5 linked regions of the Nothobranchius furzeri genome follow. The protein of the gene in region 1 binds, or shares a complex with, the protein of each later gene. Links are inferred from orthologs where the notes say so. Each region holds a gene or a part of one and is shown on either strand. Other genes may lie near its edges.

Region 1 (4,075 bases):
CAAGAAATCAAAAAGCATAAACATGAACTAATTCCATCCCAACAAGTGATATTTGTTTAGTTGCACAAATGTTCACCTTTTGAATTTGACCTGACCCTTCAAGTACTGGAACAGGATCAGGTACTGCACCAGTATGTGTCTCCGGAAGTTGCTGTCGCTGAGCTGCAAGTCCATCAGCTGCAGATTACAAAAAAAAAAAAAATCCCAAAACAATGAAGTTTAACTTTTAAGACAGAAAAACATATGACTTACAGCCATAGTCAGTTAAAAACTGCTTATTTATACATGATTAAAAGATTTTTAATGATTTTTCTGCACCTTTTCGCTCGTGAGAAACTTGGCAAAGTAAACCTGTTCACCATCAGACGCTCGCAGCTCCTCCAACTTCCTCTTTGACGCCTGCATGTCATCCAGTTTGTAGCTTTTGAACACAGCAAGAGTCTCATCGGAGTACTGAGCAAAGCAAAAGCAACACACAAGTTTATTTATTTTTTTATCCTCATCTTGGATATTGACAGTGATCCGTCAAATTGGTCAGAGTTGCTGCACCGAGGTGGATTACCTTAACAAAAGTAATCCATGAGATTTTTTCATAGCACTGCAACGGATTTCTAAAGTAGTCCTGCAATGTCCAGAACTTTCTGTACAGGTTGTAGTCAATCGGAATAGAACTAAGGAACAAAAGGGTACTATTATTTCATGAAGGTGAAAATGTGAGCAAATACAGCAAATGGTTTTCATTCACCACGGTGCCGGGGCGTCATCCTCCCCCATTTCTCCTTCCTCCACTTCCATGCCGTCTTCCTTTTCATCAGCGTGCTGTCAACATAGTAGCAAAAAAACAGATGAAACAGGATGGAAAGGATGAGCTCATTAACCTAATAATTAACCTAACAATACTTCACCTTCTGACCAAGAGTGCTTTCTTGTTCATTTTTATTGAACACGGTTATGTTGTCCAGATTAAACTGGCTTTGTAGATTGAGACCTGGATTAAAACACACACAAAATCTATTTAATTGAGAGGTTTACAATATGATTGTAAAGTGCTTTGATTTTTTTCCCCTTCAAGTTAGAAAAATAACTGACTTTCTTACCGGATTTTTCAGACAGAGGAAAGAGACGTGCCAGGAAAAGCTGGATTCTCCCACAGAATACTGTATTCTGGGATTTCGACAGCCTCCTTAAAAGATCTGTACAGATGAAACAAAAGTCACTTGCACCTGAACTTTCTGAGAATAGAAAGTCTTTTGGATGACAGAGAAAAAGACAAGATTTTTACCGTTACACATTCTCAACAAATAGTTCTTTCCTGCTGTGTAAAAAGAGCTCTGGAAGAAAGAAACAACACAGGTACAATAATGAAACCTTCTAACAAAAACAGAGAAATATTTTTGTTGCCTTTACAAAAAAAAATGCCTGTAATTATACCGATTTCCAGGTAGAGACATTTTCTTCAACAAAAGAGAATATTTTGTCACACAAGTCAAGGGGAAGGCAATCCAGAACGTCTCCCAGCAGGACAAAAGGAGTCGTAGCAGAACAGATACCTGCATTAAAAACAGAATAAATGTTACACTGTCATTTGTTTTAAGAGACGTTTTACCAAAACTTATATCAAAGCGATCCTTTCAACATGTATGTTTAAAATCCAAAATCATCTAATCTAAAATAAATATCCACCTCAGCAGTAGTGATAACATACCCTCAGTAACAGCATTGATGCTCTGGTAGATTAGAGACAGATAGTCATCACAGCATGATTTCTGCTCAAGCTAGAGAGAAACAATCATTAGCGATTCTCACATATTTTCAAATTTAAATTAACTAACTTATTAAACTTACAATCTGGTCACCAAGAACACTCCTCAAAGCCTGATCCAGTGTGGTCTTCTTTTCCGTCTCACTGACAAAAACACACAAGTAGTAAATTTGTATTTCTGGATTATTTTGATCTGGAACCTCGACCCAGGAGCACAACTTACTTGCCGGGGAGTTGGTTAAACACGGCGATTAGGGGTTTGCAGGTTTTACCAGCTAGTGCTTGTGTGCTTGCAGCCTACGGTTGGGTGAGCATGGGAAAGGACATAATGAGAAACAAAAGACGATGCAGAAGTTTGCTTCCGTTTTCAAGCTTCCGATTCGGGAAATGGCTAAGGCCAAGGCCACTCTCAATTTTTATATACGGTGACCATCTTTAATCTGCTTCATCTTAAAAACTACAATACCTAGACAGTTCAAACCTGGACGGGATTATTCTAGACTAATAGCAAATTCCATAAAACAGTTTGTGATTTGTGAAACTTCAAAATCTGCCTATTTTAAGTTTCACAAATCTGAAAAAGGTTTCACAAATCACAAACTATGCTTTATGGAATCTGCTATTAGTCTAGAATATTCCAGTCCCGGTTTGAACTGTCTAGGCATTGTAGTTTTTTTAAATAGAGCAGATTAAAGATGGTCATAGTAAATAAAATTGAGTGCAAATGCTCTTTAGCCAATTTCCAAATCGGAAGCTAACTTCAACCTCGTAAACAACAGGACCGTTCAGAAGCGTTTACTTTAGCTTAGCTTCTTTGGCTAACTACTACACTAGTACAACAAGCACAACCATAAAGTAGTGAAGTTAAGATTTTTTACGGTTTTATCAACAAGTTGTCTTACATACAAATATATTATGGATGGAAATGACAGAAAGAAGCCACTTCTCACCGAAAATTTCTCTTTAGCGTCGACAAAATTAAATGAGGACAGAGACATCTTTACGCTTCTGAAACCGGAACCGCCAACGAATCACTTCCGGTTATGAAGTGGCGTTTTTGTACGTAAAGGGAATTATCTGACAAAATTATACATTAATACATATTATCTATAAACGGAGTTAGGATAAAACTAACTTTGTATTTTTTAATTTAGTTTCAAATAGTTCAGTCAGTCACATTTTTATTTCCATTTTGGATGAAAAATGGAAATAAACCGTAGCATAGCAATCTTGACCACACGATGGCAGTGTTGTACACCATTGTTGCTGTTAAAGTTTTTCATTATTTTTTAATTTGCTTACATTCATCAAACTCTGAGTGGCTGTAAGTGATGGATGCATGGAAACCTTCTTCAAATGGTGAGTTAAAATTAGTATTTCTACTTCCTGAAAATAACAGTATTAATATTTATTTTAATCCTAATTTCCCCACTGTATGGTTTAGTTTGCCTTTTGGCCAGGACTCACTTAAAAAAATCTTACACTTGATTTTTATTTTAAAGAGTCATGTTCCAAACTTTCTTTATAATAATAATTACAACAACAACAACAACAACAATAATAATAATAATAATAATAAGTTGTGTCAGCCATTGAATACTTGTAAAATAACGTCACTCTGTTTATATTGTATGCATTTCAAAGTTATATTTATTTTAACGGAAAGAGCGAAATAATTTTTGTCCTTTCTTGTTAATAAATATTTGACTTTGACAGGTCACAATGCACAGCAGTTGTAATGTGTTTGTTTTGCATGTGTGCCTGTCTTGGTGTGCACTTCCACATGTTCTAATCATGCAAATGAACATTCAGCTATGTGCTGCAGGCCTTGAATCCTTTGATACCATCTGCTTGTCTAACAATGTCCGATTTGACATTAGAATAACCGCTCCATTACCCTGAGACAACAATCATTAAACTAAAGATTTACTCAACCCATGTGAGAACACTGAAGCTTGTTTTGATCCAGGTCAAGACCTCTAGGATTTACATACAAGGATGATCCTTTTCAGCTCCTTTTGATGGGTGTTTGTAACCTTTTTGTGACAGTGTTTTGGTGGCTGTGCTGATGTTAAGAGAAGAACAATGACTTTGTGAAGTGGAGGCGTTTAGTGTCACATGGAAGCAGGAGAGGCTCTATTTCCTTCACGTGTGTGGTTGTAGTGTTCATGAAAAAGGGAAGTGAGGAGTGATTTACTAATACCTATTTTCTCCCATCCCTTATCTTACTCAGAGTTCATCAGATTGTTGCCAAAAACTGATGAAGAGCAGAAAGGGAGTAAGCACGATGAGAAACTTGGAGATTGTGCTGGG
Region 2 (4,080 bases), on another chromosome or scaffold:
AAACACAGTGATAAAAGATGACCAAGTAGAAACATATAATTACATTTATAAAATATTGTATGCAATCATATGCAACCTCCTACTATCTTAAAGCGGACATGTTTCACTTGGAAGCGTAAAATTTTCATTAAAAATCTGTTTTTGTTATTTTTACCTGCATGATAGCATTCAGTCCTGGCTGCAAGCTTCTTAGATGCTCTTTCTTCACTTCAATGCTCTTCTGAATTTTCTCCTTTGTGGCCTGTGAGTCCTTGTATTTCTCAGCTAGCCTGTTTCCAACAAAAAATACTTTAATCAGCTGCTCTCTGCCAGACAAAGACTACACCGAACAGCAAAAAGTAACCACAATAGTACAAATGTGTACTATTTCGTGGTAAAGTTCTGTACCTCTTTCTCTGTTCGAGCTCCCAGTCCAGCCGTGCTAGTGTGAGCTGGTGGGGATCGGTTTTTGTGAGAGAAGGCCTGGAGATCTCCGGCGGGGCATCCTGGTAAAACTCTTCTTCACTCACCAAGTCAATTTCTTCATGCTTAGATCTTGTTAAGAGACGGAGAATTTAATTAGACATGACAGGATACTTTTCAAGTAGTGCTGAGAATGTTAAATTAAAAAGAAACAAATTGTTTAGTGGTTTCTTATAGAGATATGTTGTTACATCCTTAAACACTTTTAATAAAACTGATTATTTCATCTTAAATTATAAATAAAAAGTGTTGAAAAAACTAAAGGCTGAAGTCAAGTAAAGAATTTAGTACTAACTTGAACTCCAGACATTTGCTGATCTCCTTCTGAAGATGCATAACCTCATAGAGCAGATTTTGCAGCTGAAGGTGGAGCACATCAACTCTCTGTTTAGCCTGGAAACAGAAAAAGTAATCACCAATGAAATTTGTAAAGTAACAAAAAAAATAACCCTTTAAAAAATAATAAATGCATGCTTGTCAAAACTCAGCATTTGATCATATTAATGAATGTAAATCAAATTTGAAGTAAAACACTCAAAGCTTAACAAAGAACACAAAAACTAAACTGGTATTGCACATTGACTGTAGCCTTCACTGTGGTTGAATGTTAAAATGAAAAAGGTGCCTCTTGTTAAACATTCCTCCTGCAATCAGCACAAAACAAACAAACACTTTCCAGAAAGTAAACAAAACATTTTAAATTATAACAGTTTTTTTCCACAGTTCAAAAGTAGACTTGTGAAAATTACCTCATGTGTTTGGTCTCTGCCTCTTTTCAGTCGCATGTGAGCTAGACGGTTGAGCTTCTTAAGATTCATGAAGAGGATGCAGCTTTGCATACGTTTCTGCTCGACATCCATACTCTTAAAAAGAAACATTTATGTATATATATATATGGATATTTACTTTCATACCCATACACTTAACTTCAGATCTTACAGCTTTGATATGGCATGTGAAAAAGTCAATAAAAGAAACATCTGGAACAGATGTTTAGTAGAGATTTTCCAGCAGAAAAGGAAACGTTTGAAAAAGAAACTAAAGGAAAGTTGTATACTGCTGTGATGTATTGTAGAGATTATGGCTCTTACCCCTTCCTTGGCACCAGAGGCTTTCATCCTCTGGATCTCACTCATGAGTTTGGATAAAGCCTCACATGACTCTTTGTATTGATCAAAGTCCTGTTCAGGGTTCCTGCCATCCAATTCCACCTCCTCATTATAGACACGAACATCCTGGGAAAAGAAACAAGCATGCAATAATAAAACCATCAATAATATACTACTTCATAGTATTCTAAAGTTATTACACACCTACCTCACTATTGTTTTTGGGTTGCTAACATGCAACCTAGTGTTTAAAAACATAATGTGCTGTGAATATTCCTGTGAACTTGTTCAACATGAGATGTTCAATTGTTACCACAAAAACAGATTTAACCTTGTGTAATACTATGTGGATGAATTAACCGCAATTCAATATTCAAACACCTATAAAAACTATAACTTTGACTTTAAGGAACCTGTAGGACGTGAACTGAGAGGCAGAAAATGTCCCTGTTTGATTGATCATCACATAAAATAAAATGTGCAAACTCTGACATTTTTAACTGCCAATGTTCTGTATATTTGTAAACTCAACAGTAAGTACAATTAAAGCTTCAATTAGTAAATTCATCGCAGCAATGAAGTCCAATACTGGTCACTGAGAGCCACGATTCTGCATGTTTTAGTTATCTCCCTGCTCAAATCCACTGCTGTTTAACAGATTCGTGTTTTCAAGTTTACAGAGGCATGCTAACTATCCATTCATTCAAACTAGATGCTGCTGAAACAAAGATGCTGGACAGTGGGCCTACATGTCCATGATTGGACACCACTTATTTACAAAGTTCTGAGTGATTCTGTCTACCTGCTGGTCCGCCTCTCCACGTCCCCGCTTCACCTCCGGGGTTCCTGCTTCACTGCGGAGAACCTTCGATTTCCGCTTCTTAAGAACGTCGGAAGACATGGCTATTAGAATGTGAAAATAAAGAGTTTTAGACCGATAAAAAAACACCGATGAAAACATCACTTTAGTAACAATGACATACGGTTAGCATGCAAGCTAACACGGGCTAATAACCGTTAGCTTGTAGCTAACATCGGTATACTAAACTAATAGAACTAATATTTTGACGGATATTATGCGCTCATTGTGGTTATAAATAGTATGTTTTCCGACAAATACTCACTTGGTCCAAACTTACGTCTTTACTTGATAGAATAGTACACGTAAAAACGAGAACTCCCTCTACATACAAATTGTCGATTTAGGACGGAAGCCCAACACACAGACATACGTAATCGTAGACGCTCCAAGGACAGGCGCTGCCTATTTCAGCTGCCGTAGCGCCCGGTTGCCATCTTAGATGGGTCTCCATTCGCCTGCGGTGCATTTACATCTACTGATGAAGTTGCTGCTTACCCAACTAAAAACACATTATATCAAGCTTTTTAACCAAATCAGACACAATGTATGGCATAATTAAAATATAAATATAATTAAACGAAATAAATAAAAATAAAATAAAAAATATTATCAGGTAGGCTAGAAAAGGCACTAGTAAATCCACGTGATGTTTTTGCCGGGCATAGTTGATAACTCTGGATTGACTTTAGAGTGAGGAGGCAACAAGAACTGTTTCACAAATGAATTCCATATGTTCTTATCCACTTTGACTCGTATAAAAAATTCAAATGCAACTGCAAAAGCCATTTGTCATGCTGCCGAAAAATGTTTAATCTTGTAACAATGTTTTTACTTTGTGATATAAGTACCTCTTTTTAAGTTTATTTGTTTTTCTTTTATTGTTACTAAAGATGCCTTGTATGTTTCTATTATGTGTTGTTGTCTCACGAGAAATTTTAATAAGAATTTAATGATAATATTTAAAAAAGTGGAGGCCCATCCAATATGGCGGCGCCACTCTGGGTCTCATATCTAGAGCCCAAGAGTCAAAAAGCACTGCATTTAGCGCTAACGGAGGACACAGCGCGACCTACTGTCCTAAAAGCTACTGTAACTTTAAGAAATTCCACAAATAGTCATTTCAAAAATGTAAATGTAATATTATAAATTTGCAGACATTTTTCCATATTAGTTATTTTCTTTGTAAGTGTAATTCTCCATTTAATGCAAATGTATTCATAAAGCAGTTATAGATCTATCATATTGACACGATGCACAGTGTTTCAGTCCTATAAGAGCAATCTATTTGCATAGATCTTTGTTCATATTTTTCACTCTTTTGATTGTTACCTTGTATTGTGGCAATAAACTTAATTCTTAAGTGGAACATCTGTAAGTTTTTTTGCATCACGTACAATCAGAAGTTAATTTCTAATAGTTACATATGCAGCACCATTTGATACCCATCTAGAACAAACTTGCATCAAACTAAAAATTACAGGACCTAAATATATAATTTTCTACTTTGAAATCAATCAGTCTAACAACATAAGTAACATAAGTGTTTATTCACAGTTTGACAGTGTTTCAAATTTACAGACTTGTACAAATTATACTGAAATCCTCTTAATACATAAAACAGTTCTGCTACTCTTTTCAGACTTAGCA
Region 3 (4,108 bases), on another chromosome or scaffold:
AAATCAGCTCAAAGGGGGTTGAACACTCAAGAAAGTTTGAATTATTTAGTCATGTCAAACCAGAAAAATGTAAACAAGGTCTGAAGCGTACCATCCAGTGGGATGCCGTTGTACTGTTTCATGGCCTTTAGAGCGTCAGCTCTCCTTTCAAAGTGGACATCTGCTGTTCCTAAGCTTCTTCCCGACCGGTCGTAATGAACTGCAGCTTTCTTCAGAGTTCCGAATTCCGCAAAAAGTTCCTTGAAAAAGTACATCCAAGATTAGTCTAAGACAGCAACAAGCCATAAAACACAACCAACCAGTGAAGCGCGGATTTTGGAGTACCTGAATGTCTGCATCGGAAACACCGAAGTCGAGATTGGAGACGAGGAGCTTCCCTCCAGTTTCCACACCAGCTCCCCCGCCACCCCCAGCAGCACCATTGAAGCCACTGAAGCCGTTGTCGAACATGTCGTGCTGCCACTTGTCTGGGAGCTGTTTAGGCTGCAACAGATGAAAGAGAACGCACCTGCTGACTTCAGGATCCCCTTGCCTCTGCCCATCACTGAGTCCACACGGCTGGCTGTTGGGGCAAGCAGGGGGCTCCACTTCCAACATGGTGCTCAGCTCCCTTTAGAGGGGGGGGGGTCCCCAGTATTCCCTGCCCACCCCGTCACAACGAGCAAGTGCATCAGCTCAAAGGGACGTGCACACAAATACTCAAAAGCAAGGGGATTTGTAGTAGTCTCGCTTCGATTCAAATTTTGAACTTTTTTAAACGTTAACACACCAATGTTGGGCCATCTTAAATCGGAATGTGTACAAACATCACAATAAAGTCCATACTGATTTAAGTTAGTAAAAACATGCTCAAACTAGGGATGCAACGATACCACTTTTTTCCAAACCGATCTTAGTACTCGCCGATACCAATACAGATACTTCTACCACACAAAAAAAAAAAAAATGCAATGATTTGGAATGCAGATTTTACTTTCTTCTCTGCTTTCAACAGGAAAAGACTGTGAGGTAGATAAAAAGTAAAATATATGAATGGAAATCATCACAAAACTAAAATATTAGGTGAACAGAAATGACAAGTTACAGTGAAGCCATTTTCAAGCAACTGCATTGGTATCGGTTCCTGGTATTGGTTAACTTTCACCGATACTGGTATTGGTATCGGTGCCGATACCAGTATCGTATCGGTGCATCCCTAGTTCAAACTCACTGGTTCCCAAAGTTAGGACAGGACACCAATGTTGAGATTATCAAATTTAAAAATAATTGACATATATGAAGAGAAAACATCTAAACAGACCAACTGACAAGCGTTTAGTCTTGGTGAAAGTGGATGGAGTCATCTTCCTGTCCTAATGTAATTGTCTTATTGGCTATTTGTACGTGTCCGTCATGAATAATGAAGGTTTTTAATCACAGATCTTGTAAATCAGAAGTTAAAAGATCTGGGAGCCACTTGTTTCAATCACTCTAATCAACTGTCTAAAGAAAAATGGTCCCATTAAAGCCCACTTAAAATAAAAATGTATTCTTTAGATCCAAGTTTGATGTAGTAAATGGATTAAAAACAAAACCATAAAAACAAAACTCAACAGTCCTGTTCTGGGTTTCTAGTGAAATAAACCCTAGAATAGACTAACGAGCCTTTCCAGAAACCTAAGTATTACCATCACAGATATTTCTTAAACCCAAACCCACAGACTTGATGCTAAACCTGTAAAACTCCTCAGACTAGCTACCAGAGATGCCCATTGTTCTCGCCATCTGCGCCTCCCTCCAGAAAAGCCAGCTCCTCGGGACACTCGGGGACTCCTGTTCGATGCAGCGGCGTCTCCAGCGCTGGTACTTTGTGTCCTGGACCTCAGAACAGTTCTCAGTAGGGGAAGAGTCCGTGTGCTGGATGAGGAGTGAAAATGGCCAGATCTCCCCTCTGCGTGAGCGTCCATTTTGAAACCACGCCATTTTGACTGGGGCTTTGTTTGGCTTCGCTACCAACTCGATCACACTTTAAAAGACGAAGAACCGGTTTTGTTTGGGCACTAACAGAGGAGTAAAAGTCCGCTTTTCCATCCACAAGTAACAGGCAAACTGGTAGAAAAAGCCACCAGAGGGCTTGAGAACCCACTCCCCGAACAAAAGGCCGCCTGGTCGCTGCGCTGGCGGGAACTTGAGCACATATCCCGCTCCGACAAGCAGTGAAAACACACTTTCGAGTGATACTCTTGACGAAGTGGGTTTCTTTCACCACCGTGGCCAGGATACCTCTCACTGAGCACTCACTGACGACTAGCTTCACAATGCGGGGCTGGATTCAAAATGGCGCTGAGGGCCTCCACTCCTTCCGTAGGCTGTTGAAGCTCGACGTGCGTTACACATTTGGGTTGCGGGAGAAGGGACACAATATGAAAACATTTCTCTGCTTATTCCTCTAACATTCTCATACCCTGCTGTAAGGCGTAGGTCTGCCTCTAGCGCGACTCAGGTTCTGTCGATTCCTCATGGGGCCGGATCCACCGCCTCGGCCTCCAAAGCCTCCGCCGCCGCCTCCGAGTCGCCCAGCGCCTCCACCCCGGCCGCTGCCTGTGCCTCCGCGGCCACGGCCTCTTCCTCCCCGGCCTCCACCTCTCTGCTGCCTGCTCTGTTTGATAATGTCGTCTAAAGACATATCCATCTTATCGGTCATTTTGCTGCCCCAATAACGCTAAACTTTGAACAAATTAAGAATGTTACACCCTAGACACGGTCGGTCCCTCTCCCTGTCCCTTTCAAGGCTCAACGGTGTCTGATTCTTGTAGCAGCTGCTAAACACAAGTAGTAGAACACGACGTTCTCTACGTAAGCCTGACGTGAGTACGTGAACGTGATCCCCTCTACTGTCGACGATGAGGCGGAACCGGGCGGAGCATGTATCTAAAAGAAACCTTGACAGGAAAATGTGCGAATTGTGCAAAAGTTCTACACAGATGTGGTAAAATACAGAACAAATAAATAAATATTTTTTTGACAAATATGACATATAACATTTGATCGAAACTAAAACTGTAAACTGAAGAAATAACCGGGAAAAACTAAACCACATCAATCATCAATTCTTAAAAGAAACTTTCACAAAGTCAAGGATTTTAAAATAATATAGTTAAGTGTTTAAAGAGCAAGACACTCCCAGATCAACTTTTTTCTGATAAACTATATAAATGCGTATCTAACCGTGCTGCAGACACGTGTAGTTTTGCACTTTTGTGCATTTAAGTTAAAATTTAAATTTTCTGCCTAAAACTGTGAGTGTTGTGCCGTTGTCAGGTAAAAACTCTGCACTGCATTTGAATTTAAATCTGCCATCGTTATTGGCAAAGGGGTACCCTAGAACGTTAGCTGGTAGCATATGATGTCACAATGTCGTTGTGTGTGTGTGTATTTGTTAGCGGGCCCGCCCTCTTGGTCTGCTAGGCAACAGAATTTGTTGCATTTTTCAAACAGGAAGTGGGAGCGGAGTAATACTCTGGTAGGGGGTGACTTGCTCTTTAAGCAGTTACACAGAACTGGTGATGGCTACTGACCCCTTAGATTTCTAAACTTTTGCTTTTTTTTTTTTTTTTTTTTGCACAACTAACCAGTTTTGGGTTGCTTTTAGCAGCCCCTAGTGTTCTGTTAGTAAAACCAAAAGTGAAACTGTGCATTCACCTTTTTAAACACCTTAATCCATAATAATGTCTCCCCATCCTTCCTTAATTTCTACAGGAGCAGCTCATCACTAAATTGACCAAACCAGCAGTGTTTATGATCTAAAACATGCAGGAAGCAGACTGCAGCACCAGGCATGTCAGCTCCACAAGTCCAACTCTGAAGTTGCAAGTGCGACATTCTGGCCATAGAGGGTGGTCGGGGTCTGAGTGACATTTCATTAACCCTGTACAGGGTTGTTTTAGCACACACTGGCTCAAGAAAATTTTAAAATATGAAAATTTTGCAAAACACTTCAGATAAACAATTATTTGATCTTTCAAGGGAAAAAGCAGCCAAAACCTGGCACTGCATGCCTATTTGTAATAACTGCAATCAACCATTTGCTTTTGAGATCATTGAGCCTACTTGACATTGTCAGACATGT
Region 4 (3,668 bases), about 26 Mb from region 1:
TGGGCTCGACTCCGTACGGACTTGCGTGCCTGCCGGATCCCTACGCAAGGACGGATAATGGCGTTGCGTGTCTCCGCACTGACGCAGACGGAGAAGCATAAATCAGGCTTAAAGCTGTGTTCAGTAGGGAAAAGGGCACAAGTTAGCAAAGGTCTGATGGGTTCTCAAGTCAGAAAGATTCTGTTCTGGTTTTATCAGTGAATTATCATTGAAACCAAACCCAAGCCTGACAGAAGATGCATTTGCTGTTTGGGAAGTACAGTCCTGATCAAAAGTTTAAGACCATTTGAAAATGGCCAAACGTCGTGTTTGTTTGGTTGGTCATTAACAAGGTCCCAAGTAGAGCTTCAATGTGCAACAAAAAAGAAATGGGAGTGAGACAACGATCAAATCGAAACGAGCTGCTTTATAGCTGATAAAAGGTTTAAAGAACAAGTTCACTGAGAAACCATTTTTATGTGTTATTTTTTTAAATGATTGGTCACTCTGAGTTTCACATGCAGGCTGAATATGTGAATAGTCTTCTACCCCTTTTTCCTGCATTAGCCGATAGAAAACAGACGAGGAAATTCTCAGGTTAGCAAAGCCAGTCAGATCTACCTCACAGTAAGTTAACATTCATGGACTCGGCCATCTTGGCTCAAGATGGGGAAGGCAGTTGTTGGTTTAGCATTCAGGAGAGACTAGAGCTTGCCTTGGCTAATAGAAGCTAACTGTTAGCATTAGCTGCTACTCTATACAGTAGAACTCATTCATTTATGGAGGTAAAACATCAATGATGCAAATCAAACAAGGTTAGTGGTAGAGTTGTGTTGCTGTTAGCCAATCAGGGGTGAGATGTCCAAATAGTCTTGTTGTACCCTTAAGCCGGGCGGACACTGTGCGACTTTTTCACTCGTAGCACTCAGCTTCAGCTCAAACTGTACGACTTCCTCACAGAGCAGATCTCACGAGTCGTGCGCTCACACTGCACGACCCAGTTCTCGGATGCGATCTGACTGCTCACGCTGTACGTCTGGTAGCAACACGTCGGCCCTAAAAATGTGCTAAAAATAGCAGTTTTTACACAACACGTCAGACTTTTTTGTCTTGTTTTGCCTGTTGTCCTTCGGGAGTGCTGCAGGGGGACACACAGGGATTTATGGGGGTTGGATGAGGAAAACAAAATAAAGAAAGTAAATCTGTGTTTTGTGATCAGTTTAATTTGACATGAACACGACAAACACGCTTTCTTGACAACCTTTGTGAGTAAAAAAAGTGTAGAAAATAAAAACGAACAACGTGTGTTATTAGGGAAATAGCGGGCGAGCGGTGTTGATGCATGCATGTGCCGTGAGCGGTTCTGGTACTTTTTGGGTCGCAGCTGCTCGCAGCGCCGCTTCAACAGTGCGATACCCTCACGAGGGACGAGCAAAATATTAAACACGCCAGAAGTCTGTGCGAGCTCACGATTGCTGATCGGTAGCTGGTCACGTGGTGTTAATCGCCTCTCGTAGCCCCCTGTACACGACGCTCAGCGCAAAACTCGCCCCGATCTCGTGGATTCTCGCACGAGTGGAAAATCGGCTCAAAAAAGTGAAAAAGTCGCACAGTGTACACCCGGCTTAACCTGAGCTTTCCACTGGATGCATAAGTGACGCGGTTCCTCACGAGCTCAGCGGTGCATATCGTCTCACCGGGAGATTTTCTGACATGAAGCGGCAGTGAATGTGTCACAGCTGGACCCACAACGTTACAAAATCACAGGAAAACGCTAGATCAAGCATGATTTCAGCGGTTCACGTGATAACAAGCATGGAGAAAGATGGTAACGGTATCCTAGCAGGTCTGTGGTGTACTTACTGTTTACCTCAGTCACAGAGGTTTTACAGGTAAATATAATAGAAGCTAAGTGCTACGTACTACGCTTTGTGGACATTTTGTGACGCTCGCGCGTCTGATGGAAAGCTGGGATAACAAGCTGGACCTACTCTTGCTTCGCTTTATTTGTGTTCCTGATTTGTTGCTGTGACCGATCCTTCTGAACCACCAGAGCCTAAAGCAACGTCTGGGGAAAGGCAACATCCAGGCCCGGCTGGGCCGGCCCATTGGGCCTCTGATGCGGGGTGGACCTCCTGGAGGAAGAGGAGGCATGCGGGGGATGACCAGAGGAGGCCTCAGAGGGGGTTTGAGAGGAGGGATCATTCGTGGGGGTCTGTCTTCTCTGAGGGGTAGGTGTCCGTCAGCGTGGAGATGGTAGGGGTGTTTCCTCTCAGCTGAGCAATCACATTGTGTTAAACAGCCAGGCGAATGCCTACAGGTGGACCTATGAGAGGTCGGGGGGGCATCGGACGCTTCCCCATGCGTAGAGGAGGTCGGCATCGTGGAGGAGTGGCAGGAAGAGGAGGAGTTCTGTCTCGAGGAGGAGGTCGAGGTGGAATGCCCAGAGGCCGGGGTAGAGTTTGTATTTATTAGTACAATCGTTTGATGACTCGTGTCTTTTTTTTTTTCACTGTCTCACTGATGATGTTCTGTCTTCAGGCCGTGGTGGACTTCGTGGACGTGGGGGATTTGCTGGTCGTGGGGGCCGCGGCCGTGGGCGGGGCAGAGGACTTGGCCGGCCCACCGTTACAAGGGAACAACTGGACAATCAGTTGGATGCGTACATGTCAAAGACCAAGGGACACTTGGATGCAGAACTGGATGCCTACATGGCCCAGGCAGATCCCGACAGCATGGAGTGACGGCCCAGCGAGACCAGAGCTGAAGACTGGGGCGTAGCGTCAAGTGGTGTTGCTGCACCCTGTTGTTTAGCCGTGCATCCACCTGCTGCTGAAGAGCCAATCAGCTGATGAATAAACTCAAGGGGACTTTGACCCTGATGTCCACGGACTTCCTGTATGAAGTTTTAGTCAAACAGGTGTTTGGTGTAAACTGTTTAGTTTTTCTTAGTTTTTCCTCAAACCTCCAGAGTTTCTTTGGCTCATCTTAAACTTGCAGTGGAAACGTTTTTTAAAATGATAATTTTACAAGAATTTTAAGACGAGTCATTTTCTCTTATATTTGACAGGGAAAGAAGTGCTCAGGCTTTGGGTTGTTTGTATTCCGTGAAGCTGACAAGATGTTTGTTTTAAAATTATTTCCCAAGTTGTGTTAAGGAAATAAAATGATGAATGAGATATTTTCTGATTCATGTCAAACATTTAAGGCCTGTAGGTGTTCTGGAGCATGTAGAAAAGCAGATGTCCTGGTGTGATCTTAGCTTTTGTTCTGCGATTGGTGCCCACAGGGACATGGTTTCCATGGCTGTGTCTCACTGGGAAAACGTCACCAGTTAGAAGGTTGGACGTTCAAACCTAAGACCTACAAACTTCTCTATACTACATCCTGTGAACCATGTGTGTGTGCGCACATACCTAAAGGATTATTAGGAACACCTGTTTAACTTAATGCAATTATCTAATCAACCAATCCCATGGCAGTTGCTTCAGTGCATTTAGGGGTGTGGTCCTGGTCAAGATAATCTCCTGAACTCTTAACTGAAGGTCAGAATAGGAAAGAAAAGTGGTTTAAGCAATTCTGAGCGTGGCATGGTTTTTGGTGCCAGACGGGTCGGTCTGAGTATTTCACAATCTGCTCAGTTACTGGGATTTTCACCCACAACCATTTCTAGGGTTTACAAAGAATGG
Region 5 (3,741 bases), on another chromosome or scaffold:
CTAGACTTTATGGTTCGGTTAAAACAATTTACAGGGGTTTGCAACAAAGTACATAGTGATCATTCACATAGGAAGTCAGAGGCTTTCTTTCATTGTGGTTTATTTACTACATCAGTAAATTTTGGCATTCATTTTTAAATAAATGAGCAAAACCATAATTCTTGTTACAGACGTCTTATTCTCAGAAGAATGTAATTTTGTGAACTTTAAATCAGAAACTATTTGATAGTTTGGTATGAAAAAATGATAATTTAGTATGAAAAAAATGATAATTGGGTTTAATGACACTTAGATTTTACAAGTATTCAAACTCTCACTTATAGTGCAGAAACTTCCAGAGAAAATACAGCACATATGAATGTTCAACAACTGTTCTGTCCTTGACTGACGCGTATTAAATTTCTTTTCTGATCAGAGTTTCAGTTGATTTTCTTAAAAGCCTGGAAGCTTTGGTTACATTTTTACTGAGATTATTTTAATGAAAAGAGAATATAAGAATTAAAGATATACTCCAAGATGACAGCTTTATTCAAAAATACATACAAAAAAGGATTCTTAGACAAACTAAATTTCAATTAAAAGCTGTGACTCCTTCAGTTGGGCTCTTTATGTGTTCAATCCCCATTCTCCATGGGACTCTCCTGACTGTGGTCGTCACTATCTGACTTTTCATCATCTAGGAAAGACAGGATAGACGATGAGGGCAGCTCTGACAACAGTTTGTCTGTATAACCAAGTGGCTACTTACTTTCTAGTGTCTGCTGCAGCTCCTGAATGGTAGTAAGAAGAACATGAAACTGCTTCTTCCTCAACTCCAACTAAAGAGAATGCAAACATGGCATAAAAAGTCAGTAAAAATACAACTAAATCTGATACTTTAACAACATTAGGCCGCTGTGTTTGAGTTTACCTTTGCATCTACGTTCTCTTTGATGTGAGACAGTTGCTGGAGTTCTTTATCGAGTGCCTCCAACTGCCTGGAAGGTAAAACAAAAATGAGCACTTTATTGAACATGAAGGGGAGCTTGACATGTTTTATCGATAGGCTGACTTACTGGAGTGTTTCATGTCTGTCTGGGTGTTGCTGGATTACCTTTGCTAAAGCATCATATTCTTTGGAGAGACAGAGAACAGATACTTAAAAAAAAGTTTACATCCTTTTGACAACGCACATTTGATACCACATCTGGTAATTTTTCTGTAAATACAACAGATGTTAAAATGTCCTTACCCTGGCGATTTTTTCGTATTCTCTTGGCACGCAGAATTTCTTTTTTGCATTCTGTGATCTTCTCATGTGCAGATGTGATGTTTTGTTCTGCGAGGTGCGAAAGAAAAAAGTTTGATTAGTGTTAATTGGGCGATGGTGGCACAGGAGTTAAGTGCTCGCCCCATAATCAGAAGGGTGCAGGTTCGAGCCCCGCTCAGTTGTAGCTACGATGTAGCTCATCACCACCAGTGTGTGAATGTGTGTGTAAATGTCTGATTGTGTTGTGTTGTAAAACGCCGTGGGGGGTTCCAGGACTAGAAAGCTCTATAAAATACAGGCCATTTGGCATGTATGACTAAAAGAATTAACAAAAAATTCTGTGACATTGAAAACAAAGCCGATCTTACCTATGTTTGCGTAGATCTTCTCATAATTCTCCATTTCACGAAGATTCATGTCATAAACCATCAACGTCTTTCCCATAGAAAACTCACACTGAGCCAGAGTAGCCACCATCCTCTGGTACTGAGTGAATCTACACACAAAGAGCCCAATGTTCAGCATTTCACTGCAGTTGTGTACTCGGCATTCAAGATGTTACAAGCAAAAACTGGAGACAGATATATTGCTAGCTCGTACCCTTCTTCTAGGGTCCCAGAAGGTGAGTTGCACCACTTGGTGAAGCTCTTCAGCAGCAGATTGATTCGGCGGTCATCTCCAGCTCCGTCACCGTCAATGAGAAGACGTTTTCGAATCACCTCATCTGTGGAACATGCAATAAAGCAGCTGAAGAGCGTTGAAAACATAATGCATCTATGCTAAGTGTGCTAGCTAACGTCGCTATTACAGGTAGCATTTCTGGGTATTTTTCCAGATAATAAGGCGCAATTTACAATGTTTTAAACTTAGACGAAAACAAAAGTAAAGAGTAACTTAAGTGCTGAAATTAGTTAATGATAAAGCCACAAACCATCAGTTACAGCTCCCATGTTGCTGTTTTTCTTCTTCTACTACTTCCGTTCTACTGGTACTGATTGATCTTTTGTCTTTAGGCAACTCAGACACAGCTGAGCTCGTTACTGCCTTATCTGGTAAGAGGACGTTACTGCATGTTGTGATCTTTTCGCTTCATCTTCGTTAAATAATGTGGATTTTAAGTATACAGTGATTACAGTGATTATGTGACACAGAGATTTAGTTTAAATGCAATTTAGTAATACCACTAGGTTTTTTTATCACACAATCAATTACAAATTACACAATCAAGTGATGAAATTGAATTACGGTAGAATACATTTTTCAAAGGCAAAATGAATGCTGTAATCACTTTTTGCTGTGTAAAAAAACGCCTCAATTATGTATGAGCAAAGCCCTGCTCATAAAAACAGCATATGTTGTGTTTGGTGCTGGTTTAGTGGTAGATCAGCATACAATGCTGGTCTAGCAAGATGGTTCAGCATCCAGTCACCAGCTTCCCATACTGGACAGGCATTGTACACATCTTTTAACACAAAACCCTAAACTTTTGCAGCTGTTCAAAAATAAGCACTTTCTTGACATCAAAACGTGTCTTTAAAATTCACAGACATATATGTGAAATATATGGCACATATCAAATAGGATTAGATTAGGATTAGAAAATAGCCTCTCCCTGGGCTGCCACCTTAGCGTGGTGGAGGGGTTTGAGTGCCTCAATGATCCTAGGAGCTAAGTTGTCTGAGGCTTTCTGCCTCTGGTAGGGTCACCCACGGCAAACAGGTCCTAGGTGAGGGATCAGACAAAGAGCAGCCCGAAGACCTCGTATGATGAATTATATAAATGGAAAACGTGTTGCCTCACCCGGACGTGGGTCACCGGGGTCCCCCTCTGGAGCCAGGCCTGGAGGTAGGGCACATTGGTGAGTGCCTGGTGGCTGGGCTTTCACCCACTGAGCCCGGCCGGGCACAGCCCGAAGAGGAAACGTGGGTCCCCCTTCCCATGGGCTCACCACTCGTGGGAGGGGCCAAAGGGGTCGGGTGCAGTGTGTGATGGGTGGTAGTTGAGGGCGGGGACCTTGACGGTCTGATCCTCGGCTACAGAAGCTGGCTCTTGGCACATGGAATGTCACCTCTCTGGTGGGGAAGGAGCCTGAGTTCGTGTGTGAGGTTGAGAGGTTCCAACTAGATATATTCGACTCACCTCAACGCATGGCTCTGGCTCTGGAACCAGTTTCCTTGAGAGGGGTTGGACTTTCTACCACTCTGGAGTTGCTCCCACTGAGAGGCGCCGAGCAGGGGTGCGCATACTAGTTGCCCCCCATCTTGGTGCCTGTACTTTGGAGTTTTCCCCAGTGAATGAGAGGGTAGCCTCCCTCCGCCTATGTGTGGGGGGACGGGTTCCGACTGTGGTCTGTGCTTATGCACCAAACTACAGTTCAGACTACCCACCCTTTTTGGAGACCTTGGAGAGGGTGCTAGAAAGCGCTCTTTGCAGTGACTCCCTCATTCTGCTGGGGGACTTTAACGCTCACATGGGCAATGACAGTGAGAACT

Evidence for each region.
Region 2: the proteins of thoc1 (region 1) and thoc5 are in contact, whole or in part, in a cryo-EM structure (PDB 7APK), measured with the Homo sapiens proteins. The link is inferred for Nothobranchius furzeri from reciprocal best matches to the Homo sapiens genes THOC1 and THOC5. Residues at the interface, in NP_005122.2 of Homo sapiens: Glu60, Arg145, Arg146, Leu147, Ser148, Ser150, Gln151, Lys285, Met286, Leu289, Val296, Tyr297, Phe298, Leu302, Ser304, Leu307, Leu310, Gln311, Ser313, Asp314; in NP_001002877.1 of Homo sapiens: Tyr52, Arg113, Lys120, Asp124, His127, Leu128, Gln131, Asn132, Leu134, Tyr135, Glu136, Met138, His139, Thr145, Lys146, Glu149.
Region 3: thoc1 (region 1) and alyref share a complex: the UniProt entries of both Homo sapiens proteins name them as parts of the transcription/export (TREX) complex. The link is inferred for Nothobranchius furzeri from reciprocal best matches to the Homo sapiens genes THOC1 and ALYREF.
Region 4: thoc1 (region 1) and chtopa share a complex: the UniProt entries of both Homo sapiens proteins name them as parts of the transcription/export (TREX) complex. The link is inferred for Nothobranchius furzeri from reciprocal best matches to the Homo sapiens genes THOC1 and CHTOP.
Region 5: the proteins of thoc1 (region 1) and thoc7 are in contact, whole or in part, in a cryo-EM structure (PDB 7APK), measured with the Homo sapiens proteins. The link is inferred for Nothobranchius furzeri from reciprocal best matches to the Homo sapiens genes THOC1 and THOC7. Residues at the interface, in NP_005122.2 of Homo sapiens: Leu10, Arg14, Glu46, Gln53, Arg56, Glu60, Ile63, Ile64, Asp99, Asp102, Cys103, Leu104, Pro105, Arg146, Gln151; in NP_079351.2 of Homo sapiens: Tyr47, Gln51, Leu54, Ser55, Ser58, Gln59, Phe62, Gly65, Lys66, Leu69, Val70, Met73, Arg76, Glu77, Asn80, Ile84, Ile88.

The regions. Positions count from the first base shown.
Region 1 is NC_091751.1:49,147,949-49,152,023, forward strand, and holds the start of thoc1 (THO complex subunit 1), read right to left. Parts: upstream 2,810-4,075; 5' UTR 2,761-2,809; coding exon 2,713-2,760; intron 2,060-2,712; coding exon 1,986-2,059; intron 1,907-1,985; coding exon 1,846-1,906; intron 1,776-1,845; coding exon 1,706-1,775; intron 1,551-1,705; coding exon 1,432-1,550; intron 1,332-1,431; coding exon 1,283-1,331; intron 1,194-1,282; coding exon 1,098-1,193; intron 989-1,097; coding exon 906-988; intron 820-905; coding exon 746-819; intron 672-745; coding exon 563-671; intron 454-562; coding exon 319-453; intron 178-318; coding exon 77-177; intron 1-76. UniProt on the Homo sapiens protein: Component of the THO subcomplex of the TREX complex which is thought to couple mRNA transcription, processing and nuclear export, and which specifically associates with spliced mRNA and not with unspliced pre-mRNA.
Region 2 is NC_091757.1:44,994,542-44,998,621, forward strand, and holds the start of thoc5 (THO complex subunit 5 homolog), read right to left. Parts: upstream 2,811-4,080; 5' UTR 2,696-2,810; intron 2,475-2,695; 5' UTR 2,473-2,474; coding exon 2,374-2,472; intron 1,698-2,373; coding exon 1,554-1,697; intron 1,326-1,553; coding exon 1,212-1,325; intron 856-1,211; coding exon 758-855; intron 535-757; coding exon 388-534; intron 270-387; coding exon 155-269; intron 1-154. UniProt on the Homo sapiens protein: Component of the THO subcomplex of the TREX complex which is thought to couple mRNA transcription, processing and nuclear export, and which specifically associates with spliced mRNA and not with unspliced pre-mRNA.
Region 3 is NC_091752.1:50,607,596-50,611,703, reverse strand, and holds the start of alyref (THO complex subunit 4), read right to left. Parts: upstream 2,811-4,108; 5' UTR 2,684-2,810; coding exon 2,444-2,683; intron 2,180-2,443; exon of another isoform or gene 1,947-2,179; coding exon of another isoform or gene 1,740-1,946; intron 484-1,739; coding exon 325-483; intron 240-324; coding exon 92-239; intron 1-91. UniProt on the Homo sapiens protein: Functions as an mRNA export adapter; component of the transcription/export (TREX) complex which is thought to couple mRNA transcription, processing and nuclear export, and specifically associates with spliced mRNA and not with unspliced pre-mRNA.
Region 4 is NC_091751.1:23,238,916-23,242,583, reverse strand, and holds the end of chtopa (chromatin target of PRMT1a), read left to right. Parts: intron 1-2,032; coding exon 2,033-2,210; intron 2,211-2,281; coding exon 2,282-2,434; intron 2,435-2,520; coding exon 2,521-2,723; 3' UTR 2,724-3,158; downstream 3,159-3,668. UniProt on the Homo sapiens protein: Plays an important role in the ligand-dependent activation of estrogen receptor target genes. May play a role in the silencing of fetal globin genes.
Region 5 is NC_091743.1:56,272,737-56,276,477, forward strand, and holds thoc7 (THO complex subunit 7 homolog), read right to left. Parts: upstream 2,287-3,741; 5' UTR 2,200-2,286; coding exon 2,181-2,199; intron 1,974-2,180; coding exon 1,850-1,973; intron 1,746-1,849; coding exon 1,618-1,745; exon of another isoform or gene 1,319-1,617; coding exon 1,232-1,318; exon of another isoform or gene 1,114-1,231; coding exon 1,056-1,113; exon of another isoform or gene 978-1,055; coding exon 911-977; exon of another isoform or gene 819-910; coding exon 749-818; exon of another isoform or gene 677-748; coding exon 615-676; 3' UTR 511-614; downstream 1-510. UniProt on the Homo sapiens protein: Component of the THO subcomplex of the TREX complex which is thought to couple mRNA transcription, processing and nuclear export, and which specifically associates with spliced mRNA and not with unspliced pre-mRNA.